3 linked regions of the Macaca fascicularis genome follow. The protein of the gene in region 1 interacts with the protein of each later gene in a pairwise test. Links are inferred from orthologs where the notes say so. Each region holds a gene or a part of one and is shown on either strand. Other genes may lie near its edges.

Region 1 (5,858 bases):
AAATAAATGTGATCCCTCAAGAGGCATGAGGATTTCCAGGCAGTAGCTGTACCTCCAACTTGTTTAATCTGGATTTAGATGGTTGGGTAGTCACATGCAGCAGCACAGTTAACAGTGTATCCTTCTATGGAAGTTGCCAGCGCAGCCAGCCCTCTCACTTGCATGTATGCCCACTGCGTATGTGCTGTACTGGAGACGCCAGGGGCAGGGGCCCGGACCCAATCCCAAATTCTTTAAAGCCTATTTTTCTACGTTGCATCTGATTTCCTGCCTGAAGGAATGCTGAGGGTGGATGTCGAGTGAGGACCTTGGTGCAGGGCACCCTGCAGTCAGGATAGTTCACAGAGAGCAATTGCACAGACCCACACTGCTCCATCCCCTCAGGCAACAACACAGGATGCTGACCCCAGGAAGAGTGGGCGTAGAAAAACTGGAGGGCATTATTGTTATTCTGATTCAAATGTACGGTGCTGGCATGGTCTTTAAACAGTAACCAGTACTAGTTGGCCAAGACAGAAAAGTCTACCACAAATACTTGGTTCTTTCATCACTTATTTGACTGGAAGTGTTGCATCACCAATGCCTTCTTTAAGCAATGCCGTCTTTATCATTTCTTCCAGTGTTGTAATTGCACTGTTTTTTCTCATTCCTTCCCCAGGCTGGATGATAGACGCAGATAGTCGCCCAAAGTTCCGTGAGTTGATCATTGAATTCTCCAAAATGGCCCGAGACCCCCAGCGCTACCTTGTTATTCAGGTACAAATCGTAACCTGTCCTTCCATTGGGAAGAGTCCCTCTAATAAGCATCTCATGTCACTGTGCTCTGTCACATGCCAACCTGGCCTCCCTGTGTCCCAGATCGCATTATTAAACCCCCCAGCGCATTAGAGCAAGCCTCAGTTAAGGCGCAGGCCACATCGTGAACTAAGCAGGGTCCGTGAGTGGGGCCCACCCAACTCCACCTCCCCGTCCCCGTCTGAACTCTCCTCCCACACTCATCCTCACTGTCCAGCTAGCCAGAGCTTCAGCTGGGTCTAACAGAGAAGCATGGTCTATTGGCCTTGGTGTCAGGCAGACCTGGCTTCACACCCCTGACTCTCCACTTCGTCCCATCACCCAGGCAGCCGATCCACCTATCTCCTTCCATAACATGGGAATACCAAAACCAGGCTCACAGGATTGGTCTCAAAGATTTAATAAGATATGTTGCAAAATACACTCCCTAGTACCTCACAGCAAGGTGCACACTCGATGAACGCTGCAGCTTCTTCCCTGTTTCCTCAGAAGCTATTTGCATCTCATGTAGGGGCTTTCAAGCATCAAAGGATGGTTCATGTTTTATTTTAAGGCACCCACATGCCATGAGGGAGGCAGCTATAATTCAGAGAACTAAGGGGGATTTCATTATAAGAAAATTGGCAAACACACAGGCACCTGCTGGCAATAGAGCCCTGCTCCTATAGCCAAGAAGTGGAATAGCATCTCTATGGGCCATTCTAATAGCCTCAAAATCTCTGCACCAGGGGGATGAAAGAATGCATTTGCCAAGCCCTACAGACTCCAACTTCTACCGTGCCCTGATGGATGAAGAAGACATGGACGACGTGGTGGATGCCGACGAGTACCTCATCCCACAGCAAGGCTTCTTCAGCAGCCCCTCCACGTCACGGACTCCCCTCCTGAGCTCTCTGGTATGAAACCTCTGTCTCTCTCAAGCTGTCTCTCAAATTGAACAAAATGAATTTTAGGGAAAATAATAACCATCTAGTGAAACTCACACGGAGATGAAGTCAATTTTAACCAAATGGTAAAATCAAAATCAATTAAATAAGTGTATTACTTTGTTGCATTGCAACAACTTGATTGTAAGCCTTTTAGGTCCACTATGGAACAGAATTAAATCAAAACTAAACATAGTTGCTCTAAAACTAATGATTAAGACAAAAATTAAACACCTTCACAATATACCCTCCATGAAGCACACCACCTGCATTCAGGAAAAGTGGATGAGATACAGTACAATCATTCCATGGGCAACTTCTCTGTTTCTTTTTCAGAGTGCAACCAGCAACAATTCCACTGTGGCTTGCATTGATAGAAATGGGGTATGTATGAACACCTTATAAGCCAGCATTTACAGCTCTGCACTACGACTCTATTATACGTGGAAAATGCCTTAACCTAAATAATTTTAACCCAGATAATCTTGAGTTTTCTTCCTGTGTGGGTTTTTTCCTGCATGGCTGTCACGCCTCACAGTGCCATTCAAAGCGTGGCTCCTGGACCAGTAGCAGCATCACCTGGCAGCTTGTTAGAAATGCCATTTTTCAGGCCACCGCCCCAGATTAACCAAATCAGGACCTCTGGGGGTGGCACCCAGTAGTCTTTCTTTGAGCCACCTTCCAGGTGATGCTGATGCCTGTTGAAATGTGAGGCTCTGGTCTAGACCACATTGTGCCATGCAGAAACCACTAGCCACATGTGGCTACTTCAACTTAAATGTTAGTAAGTTAAAATGAAATGAAATATAAAATTCAGTTTCTCACACATGTGAAGTGTCCAGTAGCCACACGTGCCTAGTGGCGACCGTATTGAAGAGCACCGCTCATAGCATACCTCCCTCACTGCAGAAAGTTCTGCTGGACAGCACCCAGCACAGCCCCGCTGCCCGCCCTGCAGCCTGCGGCCCAGTAGCACGGGCACCCGCTAGGGTGCAGACTCTCAGGCCTGCCCGACCTACAAATCAGAACCTGCATCTCAAGGAGATTTCAGGTGATTTTTGCACACACTGAAGTTGGAGCAGCCCTGACTGGAGTAACCTTCCCTCATTTCCTCCTGCAGCTGCAAAGCTGTCCCATCAAGGAAGACAGCTTCTTACAGCGATACAGCTCAGACCCCACAGGCGCCTTGACTGAGGACAGCATAGACGACACCTTCCTCCCAGTGCCTGGTGAGTGGCTTGTCTGGAAACATTCCTGCTCCTCAGCCTCCTCGACCCACTCAGCAGCAGCCAGTCTCCACCACCCAGTGTCCAAGCCAGGTGCTCCCTCCAGCATCTCCAGAGGGGGAAACAGTGGCAGGCGTTTGCAGACACAGTGAAGGGCGTAAGGAGCAGATAAACACATGATGGAGGCTGCACAAGCTCCTTGTTGTGTCTGGGTTGTTTGCTGTACCTCTGTTTTAAGAATGAATCTGCAAAATTTCCAGATTATGAAACAAACGACAGACATACGTGTGTGTGTGAGTATGTGCATGATGTGTGTACATCTGTGTATGTGTATGTGTGTGTGTGACAGATTTGATCCCTGTTCTCTCTGCTGGCTCTATTCTTGACCTGTGAAACATATATTTAACTAATTAAATATTAGTTAATATTAATAAATTCTAAGCTTTATCCAGACACTCACAACCTGCTAACACACACACATATATACACACACATACACATACACACACATATACACACACCACACACATACACAGACCACACACACCATACACAGACACATACACATGCACACAAATATACACACACCACACACACCACACACACACATACATGTATACACACTTACACCACACATATACCACACACACCACAAAAACCCCCCACACATACACACACATATACACACAGACACCACACACACGTATACACACACATATATATACACACATACACACACCACACATACACACCACACACACCACACATACACACACACCACACAGACGTACACACGCCACACACATACACCACAGACATGTACACACACCACATACATGTATGTGTGCACACATACACACCCACACCACACACACACCACACATACATACACACATACCACACACCACAAAAACCCCACACACATACATATACACACCACACACACCACACATACACACACCACACATGTACACTTACCCACACCACAGACACACATGTACACACACCACATACACATATGTACACACACACCCACACCACACACAAACACATACCACACATACCCACATAGACACATACACACCACACACACCATACATACACATGTACACACACACCACATATACACACACATACACACCACACATGCACACACCACACACATACAAACATACACCACACACACAGCACACATACACACTCATATACACACAGCAGACACACATACCACATACACACCACACATACATGTACACATGCATGCACACACACACACACACACACACAGTCCTCAAAGCAGGCTATCCTCTGAGAACTTTAAATTTACAAAAGACACACGTGTCCATTACTTTGAGAAGTGCAGGAAAGAACCCACTTTCTTTTGCAGCAACAGCAAGAGGGTCCTCCCAAGGCTCCTGCTCCCTGTCATAAATCTCCCTGTTGAAGACATTCACAGGGTTCAGAACCCGGGGATCTTGCATGGGATGGTGCTTTGCTGATTACTTCACCTCTGATTTCTTTCCACTTTCAGAATACATAAACCAGTCTGTTCCCAAAAGGCCCGCTGGCTCTGTGCAGAATCCTGTCTATCACAATCAGCCTCTGAACCCTGCGCCCAGCAGAGACCCACACTACCAGGACCCCCACAGCACCGCAGTGGGCAACCCCGAGTATCTCAACACTGTCCAGCCCACCTGTGTCAACAGCACATTCGACAGCCCTGCTCATTGGGCCCAGAAAGGCAGCCACCAAATTAGCCTGGACAACCCTGACTACCAGCAGGACTTCTTTCCCAAGGAAGCCAAGCCAAATGGCATCTTTAAGGGCTCCACAGCTGAAAATGCAGAATACCTAAGGGTCGCACCACAAAGCAGTGAATTTATTGGAGCATGACCACGGAGGACAGCATGAGCCCTTAAAATCCAGACTCTGTCAATACCCAGGACCAAGCCACAGCGGGTCCTCCATCCCAACAGCCATGCCCGCATTAGCTCTTAGACCCACAGACTGGTTTCGCAACGTTTACACCGATCAGCCAGGAAGTACTTCCACCTCGGGCGCATTTTGGGAAGTTGCAGGTGCATTCCTTTGTCTTCAAACTGTGAAGCATTTACAGAAACGCATCCAGCAAGAATATTGTCCCTTTGAGCAGAAGTTTATCCTTCAAGGAAGTATATTTGAAAAAAAAAAAAAAAGTATATGTCAGGATTTTTATTGATTGGGGATCTTGGAGTTTTTCATTGTCACTATTCATTTTTACTTCCGTGGGCTCTTCCAACAAAGAAGAAGCTTGCTGGTAGCACTTGCCACCCTGAGTTCATCCAGGCCCAACTGTGAGCAAGGAGCACAGGCCACAAGTCTTCCAGTGGACGCTTGATTCCAGTGGTTGTGCTTCAAGGCTTCCACTGCAAAACACTAAAGATCCAAGAAGCCCTTCATGGCCCCAGCAGGCCGGATCGGTACTGTATCAAGTCATGGCAGGTACAATAGGATAAGCCACTCTGTCCCTTCCTGGGCAAAAAAGAAATGGAGGGGATAGAATTCTTCCTTAGACTTACTTTTGTAAAAATGTCCCCACGGTACTTACTCCCCACTGGTTGACTAGTGGTTTCCAGTCGTGAGCGTTAGACTGACTTGTTTGTCTTCCATTCCATTGTTTTGAAACTCAGTATGCTGCTCCTGTCTTGCTGTCATGGAATCAGCAAGAGAGGATGACACATCAAATAATAACTCGGATTCCAGCCCACATTGGATTCATCGGCATTCAGACCAATAGCCCACAGCTGAGAATGTGGAATACCTAAGGATAGCACCGCTTTTGTTCTCGCAAAAACATATCTCCTGATTTGAGGCTCAGATGAAATGCATCAGGTCCTTTGGGGCATAGAGCAGGAGACCACAAAAATGAAGC
Region 2 (5,858 bases), on another chromosome or scaffold:
ACATAGTCCTGTAGTTTGGGTACCGTAAGAAACCGTGATTGTAAAAACCTCACATCTTTTCAGAAGCAGTTTCTTTTTGAATCATGCTCTTTTAAACTTTAATTTTTAAAATTAAAATTAAATGTGTAAACATTTCCCAAAGTGTGTTCTTTATAATATTAGATCTACACAATGCTGGTGGGTGTTACTTCAGAATGCTTCAGAGTGGTTCTGATCACGACTGAACATGATTAGTGGAAAAGATTCTTTATGACAGAGCTCCTCAGAGACTTGGCTCTCAATGTTCCCAAAGTATGTTGTGAGTCTTCAAGAGGGGGCTGTAGCAAGTCGTTCTCAGTGGCTTCTTTAAAGTATGGAAGACTCTTTTCAAGGTGCTTTGCGTAAGCCTAATGTTCTGAGGAATATACGTGGGGAAACTAATTCCTAGGACCGATTACACTTTTGGGGGCCGTAGTTTAAGTGTCAACATGTGAAAAGGACTGTCTGGCATTTTTTTGTCACTTTTTGGATTCTTAGGAACTTTTTTCTTTCACTTATCGTCTCTTTGGCTTTTATCTTACCGAAGCAAGTGATTTTTAATACATAAGTAATACTTTTAAGTCTGATGTAAACCAGGTGATGTTTATGGGGTGGATGAGAACAACACTGATTTGACATTTGGGAGGTTTGGGAAGTGCCAGGAATTAGTAGTAGACTGAAATTGATTTTAACATTTTATCCTATCCTTCCTTTAGCTTAAAGACTTCACCTGTTCACCCCACTAAAATGTATAGGTTCTCTCCTTTTTCTCTGAACCAGAAAAAGAAAATTTTAGCTTACCTGAAAATAATCACAGAGCTGAACTCCTTAACCAGATATATTTTCAAGATGTTACACAGGCTAATTGTGACTGCAGGATCTTTTAATCATTCAGTTTAGTTTCTTACCTTTTGTTTTTTGAAGAATTTAGAAATCCTTCTCTTTACCTATATGTCAAAGCTCTCTCTTAATCATATATTAAGACTTAATACAGAATTTATCATAATTGTTTCCATTTAATTTACCTGATAAAACTTGACAGAAATACCTAAATGAGAAATACCATGTGATGTTTCATAGGGTCTAGTATAAATAAGTATTTGTGCTCACATTTGTAAGTAGATGTTGTTTAAGAAATGTTTTGGGTTTCTTTTTTTGTATTAGGAAAAGAATGAAAGATATCTTCTACTCTTCCCAAATGTTTTGCTGATGTTGTCTGCCAGTCCTAGGATGAGTGGCTTTATCTATCAGGTAAAACACCATCTAAATTTATATTTTATTGTGGATCTGAGGATAATTTCAAGCTGACTTTGAATTTTGTGTTAAATATTACATGTATCTGTGTATGTGCTGTGTGTGTAATGCCGTATGTTCAGATATGGATGTACGGCTCCTGTTTATGTTTCGCTGTGACTATGCAAGCATATCCTATGTTCATTTTAAAAAAGGAAAGAAGTGTAAATGTAGAGCAACTTCATAAGGACACAGATGACTGTGGCACAAGTCAGCCTCTGTCATTGCCTTCTGTCATTTCATGCAAAATACCTTGCTGCTCCTTGCTATAGTTTTGTTCTGTGAAATGGGTTCAGCTAGGGCTTGTGGGTTAGTGGGGTAGTGTAGACTAAGGTCTTGTGTCAGTGGCACAGCACTGCCCAAATGCATCAGCAAATAGAAAGTGATGTACGTATGTAAGTAGCAGTGTGTGATTGTTGAACCTTTTTAATTTTTGTTTCCCTGCTTTTCTTGGAGAAAATGTGACAGCGGATTTGAGAAGGAGGTGCAAGGGTGAGCAGGGCCTTCTCTGTTATGACAGTGGTTTATAGTGGTGGTATGTGAAGGAGCTGGTATTTTTGCTGTCTAGTAGATGCACTTGGCAGGTTTCATTCTTTTTTTTCTGTGAAGTAATAGAGGCTCATATCCTTCCCATCAACTTTCTGAGGACTGGCCAGTCACCACATAACCACTGCAGCAGAAGCCACCACTTCGTGTTCCCTGGGTTGCGTTTCATTGTAGCATGTGTTGTTTTGTGTCGTCCCAGCAAGGGCGTTAGAGAGCCCTAAGCAGACACTGTGCCTTCACAGAGGCTTTGTCGACCACCCAGAGAGGACTTGTCGTCATACGCTTACTCTAAAACGGGTGCTTTAGAATTGATGAATCACATATATAGGAAAAGACTCAGGAAAATAAGGCTGTAGTTTGTAAGGCCACTGCTGAAGAGAGGTGATCTGTGGCTAAGGTGGTGCCCACTAGAGTTTTCCAATAAACTAGCAGCTACTTCTTTGTTAAATGACCTTGATAAACCTAAATCTCTGTCCTTTCTGGTCAGCACTATCTGGCTTCCTATTTTATATCCCCAGAGTCTCATTCCAGTGGCTGGAGACAGGAGCCTTCTCTAGCCTAAGGGAGAAGAGGTTGCCACTCGTGGCAGGCTTGAGTCTCTGCCTGTGGGACTGGGGCTCACACTGGCTTTACCCTTGACGTGCTGACAGACTGCTGGGGCTCATCTCAACGACAGGATTCTATTTTTCAGTTCTTAGTACAGTGGTGAGCCATGGTCTCTGTATCGTCAGTCTTCATTTCTACCATTGGAACACTGGCTTTGGGGGATGCTAAAAAGTGTTCGATCCAGCCACAGCCACAGTGCTCTGTACACCGATGTTCCGGTGGGCTAGGTTAAACACAGTTGTGCAGTTTCATTTTCTGTAGCACTCACAGCTGTTAAAGTACTTACATGCATTGTGAATCTTGGAAAGGAGTTCACAGTGTGTAGCATTTTTAAAATACGCTTGGCCACAGAAGTGTCCAGCAGTCTCCTCTTCCACCTGCCGTGCTTTAGGATGAGATTTCTCCACCTGGGCACTGCTGACGTTTTGGACTGGATCATTCATGGCCCGGGGCTGAGGGCTCAGTGAGACTGTCCTGGGTACTGTGGGGTATAGGCAGCCTCTCTGGCCCTTACTTGCTGGATGTCTGAGCCCCTGCCAGGTTGTGGCACTGCCACCCATTCTCTGTGGGGGCACGTTCCCCACACCCGTTGAGCAGCACTCCCACTGGAGGTGCTCATGCAGAATCTCGCTCCGCAGCTGATGGAGTGCTCCCCAGGCAGCACGACCCAGATGCCACTGCCTCTTCCTGAGGACTTGGTGGGCCACCGTGTACTGTAGTTTCTGTCAGCTGCGCCAGACTGTTTTGTGTTCACTTCTGATTTGTTTGTAATGATCACTTTGTACCCCGTTTCTGGTATCTTTTCCATTGACATTTCCTGTTGCAGTTACTGATTTCTTCCATTTTCAGGGAGCATTGGTTTGCCAACCATTTTCTGCATTGTGTGCAGCATTTAGCACAACTACTTATTTTCTGTTTGGTGGATTATAAAGTAGAATGTTAGGCAATTCTTGTTCTTGCCTCAATTTCCCACCCTTATTTTGACTTTAAACTTGGAGCTTCCTCTGTATTTCTTTATGAGGCAAATACATGCTGCTTTTCTGCAAAAACATCGTTTAAAACAACTGTTACACGTGGTAGTTTTTAAAAAATCATAATGTGAGATTTTTTGTCCTGGTGTCTGTTTAGTAGCAGCTCATCAGATGCAGTGTGTGTTTGGGCTTGTCAGTCTGTCCCTTGTCGCCAGTTGAGTTTCTTGCTTACAGTATAGTATTAATATGATTTATTATTTGAGATAAAGATTTTTGTATTATACATGCATCTGCTACAAACGAACTCTTTTTGGTTCACAAACACAGTTCCTCCACCAATTCTAAAATCATTTAATATTACTTTAATAATGGTACCTTTTTCTAGAAAAGCACTAATTGTTTTTTTTTTGTGGGGGGGTCTTTTTTAGGGAAAGCTTCCAACGACAGGAATGACAATCACAAAGCTTGAGGACAGTGAAAACCATAGAAATGCATTTGAAATATCAGGTGATAGGCACAAGCTGTGTGAGTGCCGTGTCTCGGGGAGGAGAGGCAGCTTGTCCCCGCGTGCAGATTCTTGCTTGCATATTTCAGAAGGTGGTGTTTAAGCGTTGAGTGGAATTCTGGGGGCTGTGTGTGCATGCACGCGCTTTTTACCTGTGTTTCCACTCGGCCTATTTTTTCCTTCTCTCCTCTAGGGAGCATGATCGAGCGGATATTAGTGTCATGCAACAACCAGCAGGATCTGCAGGAATGGGTGGACCACCTACAGAAGCAAACGAAGGTCACATCTGTGGGAAACCCCACCATAAAGCCTCATTCGGTGCCGTCTCATACCGTAAGGACCTGGCGCTTCTTCTCCTTCCAGACTCCAGGCGTGGCATCCCGTGGCTGAGCTGTCAGCAAGTGATCACGTGCTTTAAAACCTGATCAATATTGGGATAAAAATGCAAACGCTTGCTTGATATTTCTCTGAAAATATTTGGCCCTCTTTGTGCAGTAGTGAATTGTTTTCCAATGAGTGTTCTCGAGAAACAACCCTGAATTGTGCCTCCTCACGCACAATTCAGAGGTGCTTGGGTGGGAAGCTGCTTTTGCTCAGCGTGGCCTTAGAAGACTAATTTAGGGGAGTTTTACACTAAACTATAGATGATTTTTCTGAGAATTTTAACTGTTTATTATGCTTCATTTAAGAAAACGAAAATAAATGATTATGATGATGAAAAGGGCCAGATTCATGTTGAAGGCATTAAAATAGAGTTTATGACACACTGTTGATTTTAAGAAATTGAGGTGTCTTTTACTTAGAAAAGCTCAGCAACTCTTTGAATTTTTAGAGAATTACAACTTTTCAAAATAGATGAACACTGAATTCGGTTGCAGTGTTTAAACCTCTCCTGGTGTTTTTTGCTCAAGAAGTTGGTATCGGGTTGTTTTAACAGTCGTCATCTTTATCAAGTAATACCGAAAAACTGGGCAGAGCTTTTAAAGAATGAGTGGCGATGACACGGCATTTTCAGCTTGCAGATTCCCTCACATCCTTACTAGGTTATTAGGATCAGTTCTGTCGTGTGCTCAGTTTTCATGTTTTCTTCTTCATGGGAAGGTTGTAGATCAAGAAGGATTGCTGTATTCTGATATTCTCATCAGTTTCAGAGTCCATCTGATTTCTCTCAGCAGTGTGCAGATAACTACTCATTGGCTTTTAGCTAGCATTTCATCTTTAATGGCTCTGCCGTTTTAAAATTCTCCATTCTTTCGTGGAGATCAGTTTATCCCAGCGACATGTGTACACGTGTGTTTATAAAGAACAGTGGATGAGCTGCTTCACTCAGATTTTCAACAGCAGCCTGAAACTCTACTTCATACAATTTTACATCAAGTCAGCTTTTCTCTGCGGCCAGACCCTCCGTCTTAGTGTTTCTTTCACTGGTGGCGGGGAAGGCACTGTGCCTCATGTTTAAAATGTTCTGCGTTCTCCTACAGAGTTTCTTTTGTGGGATGATGTATTCTCCTGTGATCTAACTCTGTCCAACTGAAGTCATATTCTAATTTTAGCATAAAGCATACTTCCTTTGACTTTCTCAAGAAAGGAGAAACAAAACCAGACACTACTTAACTCTGACGTTGTTGCTAGGAGGGATGTCTTACATAATTTTCTCCATCTATACATTATTTCCTATGAAAAGATGACGTTACGGTGGCTTCATAGCATGACCTGTATCTCACACGATTCCCTCCCCCATGCAGGGACTAGAATGTGATCATTGCAGAAAGTTGATGGCGTCTGTTCTTGAAATTGTGGCATTAGCTGCTGTGGGGCCTTCCCTCTCAGCCTGTTTTGAAGGTCGTGTACTTCAGAATGCCGACCCCACTCAGGTTTCCAGTTCACAGCGCCACACAGCTTGTTCTCCCATTAAACGC
Region 3 (6,317 bases), on another chromosome or scaffold:
AAGTACTTCATCAAAAGTGGTCAAAACAGCAACGCTGTCCAGAGCCGCTCGGCAGGGCGCCGCCAGCCTGGTGGGTGGACCGCCCTCTGCTGTGAGGTTCTGTGCCTGGCACTGCTTCTAGCTGCCAGCAGTGTCCCTGGCACGACAACCAAAAACACCTGCACACATCTCCCAAGGACTTCCAACTGAGAACCAGTGACTGAAGAGAAATAAGCCTCACTGCTCAATTACTTTTCAAAGATATTTTGTCCAAAGCTTACTGTCTTCCTCTAAGAATCCCTTCCCCTGGGCAAGCCCAGTCCCCAGTCTGAGACGGCCCCACCCAGCTAGCCATGCTGGTGTGCGACTGTCCACTCCCTTGGTGAAGACCCAGCCCACCACACCAGAGTCCTTGCCTCACTTTCAAACTACAGAGCTCCGGGCTGTTAAGAGTCTCGCAGAGCAGAGTGCCTGGGTTAACCCGTCTCCACACTAGCTTTGTTGGGGTGGGGGTAGTGGTGGTTGGCCTTTTAGTGTGGACTGAAGGTGAAAAACTTTTCTGGCTGGTCATTTTCAAAGAGCTGAGAGGGGATGAAGTGGTGCCCTCCCTGACCATGGCTAAGCTGTCATCCTCTCTTACAGAGGGAGACACAGCTGGTGGCGGGGATGCATGCTCACAATCGAAGCTCCAGTGGCAAAAAGTCCTTTCCAGCCCCAATCTATGGACAGACATGACCCTTGTCCTGCACTGATGCGAAGGCCTCGAGGTTCCAGGTCGCAGTGGGTGTGAAGCACTGTGCGTCTGCAGAGTGGGGCTGCAAACCAGGGGCAGGGTCCCAGCTGGAGACCCTTTGGACCTTGAGCAGTCTCCATCTGCAGTCCTGTCCCGTGGCTTAAATGCCTACTGGTATCTGTATATTTAAGTTAAACACAATAATGTATGTTACCTAAGCCTCTGGTGGGTTATCTCCGCGATGGAGAAAATGGCCAGATTTCAATAAATGTTGTTACCGGCATCCTCCAGTGCTTATCAAATGGTAAAAGGCCGGCTGGTGGGCACGGTGGCTCCCCACCTGTAATCTCAGCAACTTTGGGAGGCTGCAGTGGATGGCTTGAGCTCAGGAGTGTGAAATCAGCCCAGGAAACACAGAGATACCCTGTCTACAGAAAAAACAAAAAATTGGCCGGGCGCGGTGGCTCAAGCCTGTAATCCCAGTTTGGGAGGCTGAGGCAGGGGGATCACAAGGTCAGGAGATTGAGACCATCCTGGCTAACCCGGTGAAACCCTGTCTCTACTAAAAAATACAAAAAACTAGCCGGGCGAGGTGGTGGGCGCCTGTAGTCCCAGCTACTCGGGAGGCTGAGGCAGGAGAATGGCGTGAACCCGGGAGGCGGAGCTTGTAGTGAGCTGAGATCCGGCCACTGCACTCCAGCCTGGGTGACAGAGCGAGACTCCACCACAAAAAAACCCAAAAAATTATCCGGGTGTGGTGGTGCACACCTGTAGTCCCAGCTACTCAGGAGGCTGAGCCAGGAGGATAGAGAACAGGAGGTTGAGGCTGCAGTAAGCCCTGACTACACAACTGTGCTCCAGCCTGGGCCAAAGGAAGACCCTGTCTCAAAAAAAAAAAAAAAAAAAAGTCACAGCTTAAAGGAGCATTTTATTTTTTTGAGATGGAGTCTCCCTGTGTCGCCAGGCTGAAGTGCAGTGGCACAATCTCAGCTCGCTGCAACCTCCAACTCCTGGGTCCTAGCAATTCTCCTGCCTCAGCCTCCCAAGTAGCTGGGATTACAGGCATGCGCCACCACACCTAATTTTTGTATTTTTAGTAGACGGCCTTTCACCATGTTGGCCAGGATGGTCTCCATCTCCTGACCTTGTGAACCGCCTGCCTCGGCCTCCCGAAGTGCTGGGATTACAGGCATGAGCCACCGCACCCGGCGGTGAGCAGCATTTTAGAGGAGCCTGGTGAGTTGGAGTGTCCTCTCCCATGGAAACTGTCTCCAGAGGAGGTTAGGTGACCTACGGAGCACCATGTCTTGGGTTGGTCAGCTCTAACTTACCAGTGTATCCCCAGGGACACCATGGCCCCTCACAAAACCCAGCCGGAGGACAGCATAGAGCCCAGGCAAGTCGGCGGTGGCCCTCCCACCCCACACACAAGTACACAGCCATGCTGCTTCGTGCCTTTGCAAAGCTTTTATTTCATGTCTGCAGCATGGAATCCACCTGCACATGGCATCTTAGCTGCGAAGGAGTAAGCAGTGCACGAGAAGGAACGAGTGGGCAGAACCAATGGCCTCCACAAGCTGCCTTCCAGCAGCCTGCCAAGGCCATGGCAGAGACTACAAACAAACACAAGCAAACAGTCTCTCCATGGCTGGAGTCTGAAAGGTCATAGTGGCATGTGTGTATTTGACAAAATTAAAAATGTGCATAGTCCATTATATGCATAAAACACTAACAATAAAAATCCTGTTTACACGTGACTGCAGCAGGCAGGTAACCAGCTTCACCACTGCCCTCCTGCCACATCACATCAAGTGCCATGGTTAGAGGGTTTTTCATATGTAATTCTTTTATTCTGTAAAAGGTAACAAAATATACAGAACAAAACTTTCCCTTTTTAAAACTAATGTTACAAATCTGTATTATCACTTGTATATAAATACTATATAGCTGATCATTAATAAGGTGTATAAGTACAACAATGTATTCTAACTGTTAAGCAAAAAAACCTAAAAAAAACCTAAAAAAAACCTAAAAAAAATTTATCCAAGTGTCCTACATACACCACTCACGCTGGTGATCACTGCTCTCTGCCAGCTGCGTGGAGTGACGGAAGGAGGGAATCATTGTGTGTGTATGTGCCAGAGTGCTTCAAACTCAATTTCCCAAAAAAATTTTCACCCCTCAAAGCATGTAAATATACAAAGATGGATCCTTCATAGAAATTAAAAACAAAAACCAATTTGAGCTCATTTCAAATACAGAACAAGTATGGCACAGATGGAAGCCGCGGTTTCCTTTAACGATGCTGACTCTCGTATCACACAGGCCAGCATGAAGTTTCTTACTCAGACTTTACAGGCATTTTCCGTAATTTAATCAGTCCTGCTCCCAGCACAACACAGGAGGTGATTTGAGAATAATCGCAAGAATCAGGCCTGCTTGGCACTATGATACAACTGGGGAAAACCAACCAGGGCGCCTCCCTGGTTCCCAACCCAGAATGTTTCTGTTGGGTAACTGCTTTTTAAAGGAACTGGGCTTTTGGAGTTCCTAGACTCGGAGCACTAAAGACACAAGCGTGGCGAGGCTGGCAGCGCCGGCGGCAGCGCCCGCTGTGAGCGCCCCTCTGCCCTTGGTCCTGGCCTGGCCATTACAGGGCCTCGAACTCGTCGATGCGCTGCTTGGTGTTGCCCTGCCGGATCTGCCGCAGCGTCTTGTACTTGTCCCGGCCTTGCCTCATGTTCTCGTTGTGGATGATGTCATTGTGGGTCCTCTTATTCTCATCTCGGGCCTGGGACAGCTCGCTGCTCAGCGTCTGCAACATTAAGCAGCATTGGTCAGGTCCCTTCCTCCCCATATGGCCCAGCCCCTCCCCTAGGAAAATGGGAAGGGCAAGAGGGGTGCTAGGTGGGGCTGGCTCACATCACTGCCTTCCCCAAGCCTGTCTGCTGCAAGAGCAAGGCGGGCCCCCTAGAGACACACAGCCCCTTGGGCCTCACCAGCAGCTGCCGCTGCACACGCTCATTCTTCTCCGCCTCAGTGATACGCTTCTCCTCATTGCGGTCATCCCGGATGCCCTCACTAGACAGCTCTGCACTGTAGCCCGTGGGCTCCGCACCCTCATCCTGCAAGCTCTCCTGGACATGGTAGCTCAGTGGCTCGTACATGGGGGGTGGCGGGGGCGGGGGTGCCGTCATCACCAGGTGTAGCTCCTCCTTGGTCTTCACCAGGTCATCCTGGGCTTCTTTGGCCTTTGGAAAGCAAAATTAGTAGGTGAGAACTTCTCACCCAAAAGTCCTATCCTCCTGGCTATAAGAACCAACTGTTGCCTCCCTCTGTCCTGGCACGCTAAGGCAGCACTAAACCGTGCTGGGCCATGGCTTCGAAGAAGAGCCCCTCAAAGTGCATGTGGGGTTGACAACCCTCTGCATCCAAGACAGGAAGAGGAACTGTGATGCCGGAGCCTGGGCAGTTTTAAAACTACCATTTCTTTTTTTTTTCTGTCTATAACTCTAGACGTTATATAATTTTTAGGAAAAAAAATCCTGTTAAATGAGTAACAGGCTCTGTTCCCAGCCTCCCCTCATGCCACGGTCATTATCAAGTGGTCTCCTGCTCACCACTTGCAGTCCTTCCAACAGCGTCACACATGCCCAGTCCTGCCCGCCTCCATCCCAGCCCTGGAGTCGAGCTTAGTGTGGATCTGCGCTGGAGCCAGCTCTCCTCACTTACCTCTTAACAGGTACTTTCTCAAAAACCTAAGAACCAAAGTCTTCTGCTTGCAACTTCGGATGGTGATATGGCTGTGTCCCCACCCAAAGCTCATCTCCAACTGTAATCCCCACATGTCGGGGGGGGGGGGGTTTACCTGGTGGGAGTGACTGGATCGTGGGGTGGTTTCCCCTATGCTGTTCTCGTGCTAGTGGGTGGGTTCTGAGTGAGAGCTGATGGTTTCAGTGTTTGGCACCACCCCCCTTTGCTTTTCTCTCTTCTGCCCTCACGTAAGAGGTGTGCCTGCTTCCCCTTCACCTTCTGCCATGACTGTAAACTTCCTGAGGCCTCCCCAGTCATGTGGGACTGTGAGTCAATTAAACCTCTTCTTTAACTACCCAGTCTCAGGTAGTTCTTTACAGCCGTGTGAGAACAGACTAATACAGATCGGCAGCAGGAATGGGGGCTGGAACAAAGGCAAGGAGGCACTGGCCAGAAGTGGCCCTGGAGAGCCAGGAGACACGTCCCCAGAAGGCACCACCACAGATGGAGAAGCCACAGTGGGGGAAGGACAGGCCAGAGGATCTGTGAAGGAGAAGAGCTTCTTAAAGCCTGGTGTGCAGTCTCCAATGGGAACCATCCCCAGACTTTCTCAGGGGCTGTGCCTTCCTGGAGGGCAGAGGGGATCCCAGCTTCTCTCTCCCAGAGAGAAGCTCTGTGTGCGTCTCACAGTGACAGCTACAGCTGATTAAACCTCTGTTTGCCAGGTCCTGGGCATGGGACCTCACATCTGCAGAGCAACTTTATGAGTTGGGTATCACCCCCATTCTACAATAAGGAAAATGAGGCTGGGAGAGGTGATGCTACTAGCTCCCCGTCAGATAGCTGATGGGCAGCAGAGCCCGGCTCTTGCTCCAGCCGAGAGAATTCCAAGGACCTGGATCTTTTCATGGTGCCCGCTATATATACCAGCTGCAGGAGGTTGTGTTTCAGGCACTGCGACCCCATTGCAAGGTGCACATATATAATCAGATTTAAAACCAATTCAGATCAGCTGTCAGAGGAGGCTGTCAGATCAGCACTGAACAGTTTGGGGTGGAGGGAGCAAGGTCGTGAAAGTCAATCAGAAGTCCTCCCTCTATGAATCCAGCAGCTGCAATGACTCAAGTACAAAGTCAAACCCATCTCTTTGGGGATGTCTTTTTTTTTTTTTTTTTTTTTTTTTGAGACGGAGTCTCACGCTGTTGCCCAGGCTGGAGTGCAGTGGCGCGATCTCGGCTCACTGCAAGCTCCGCCTCCCGGGTTCCCGCCATTCTCCTGCCTCAGCCTCCTGAGTAGCTGGGACTACAGGTGCCCGCCACCGTGCCCGGCTAATTTTTTGTATTTTTAGTAGAGACGGGGTTTCACTGTGGTCTCGATCTCCTGACCTTGTGATCCGCCCGCCTCGGCCTCCCAAAGTGCTGGGATTACAGGCTTGAGCCACCGCGCCCGGCCGGGGATGTCTACTTCAGTAATACAACTGGTATCGGCAGAGGATCGTGAGACTCCCAGAAGCTTCCAGTAGGACATGGCAGCTGAGCCAAACCTCTCCCCCAACCCACCCACCTGCAGAAGGGCCCACTGCCCAGGCAGTGGGCAACAGGTGCCGTGGCCGTGCGGCTTCCCCCATGCAGACTCACCCTGTGCTGCCACTCTTCAACCTCATCCTCCTTGCGCCTCCGCGCCTCTTCCAGGAGGGCAATCTTGGCAGTGTATTCTGCAAGCTCCGCAGCCTGGGAAGGGAATGCCAAGCTAAAGTGACTTCTGATATCCTTTCAAGAGTCCAGTTGTGAATGAGTGTTAATGTGTGTTGGTGAGCAGCCTCCACTGTGACATCTGAGTCCCCGTCACCCCC

Evidence for each region.
Region 2: the proteins of EGFR (region 1) and ARHGEF7 interact in a protein complementation assay, tested with the Homo sapiens proteins (3 studies listed by BioGRID and IntAct, with this or other methods). The link is inferred for Macaca fascicularis from reciprocal best matches to the Homo sapiens genes EGFR and ARHGEF7.
Region 3: the proteins of EGFR (region 1) and EZR interact in binary tests that used the Homo sapiens proteins (3 or more experiments, as listed by UniProt). The link is inferred for Macaca fascicularis from reciprocal best matches to the Homo sapiens genes EGFR and EZR.

What each region holds. Positions count from the first base shown.
Region 1 is NC_088377.1:75,199,323-75,205,180, reverse strand, and holds part of EGFR (epidermal growth factor receptor), read left to right. Parts: intron 1-658; coding exon 659-756; intron 757-1,523; coding exon 1,524-1,691; intron 1,692-2,057; coding exon 2,058-2,105; intron 2,106-2,841; coding exon 2,842-2,950; intron 2,951-4,478; coding exon 4,479-4,840; 3' UTR 4,841-5,858. UniProt on the Homo sapiens protein: Receptor tyrosine kinase binding ligands of the EGF family and activating several signaling cascades to convert extracellular cues into appropriate cellular responses.
Region 2 is NC_088391.1:101,799,314-101,805,171, forward strand, and holds part of ARHGEF7 (rho guanine nucleotide exchange factor 7), read left to right. Parts: intron 1-1,182; coding exon 1,183-1,269; intron 1,270-3,862; coding exon 3,863-4,031; intron 4,032-4,132; coding exon 4,133-4,272; intron 4,273-5,858. UniProt on the Homo sapiens protein: Acts as a RAC1 guanine nucleotide exchange factor (GEF) and can induce membrane ruffling. Functions in cell migration, attachment and cell spreading. Promotes targeting of RAC1 to focal adhesions. May function as a positive regulator of apoptosis.
Region 3 is NC_088378.1:67,100,162-67,106,478, forward strand, and holds the end of EZR (ezrin), read right to left. Parts: intron 6,196-6,317; coding exon 6,103-6,195; intron 3,964-6,102; coding exon 3,712-3,963; intron 3,528-3,711; coding exon 3,363-3,527; 3' UTR 2,165-3,362; downstream 1-2,164. Other genes in the region: SYTL3 (synaptotagmin-like protein 3), read left to right, coding at 622-731. UniProt on the Homo sapiens protein: Probably involved in connections of major cytoskeletal structures to the plasma membrane. In epithelial cells, required for the formation of microvilli and membrane ruffles on the apical pole. Along with PLEKHG6, required for normal macropinocytosis.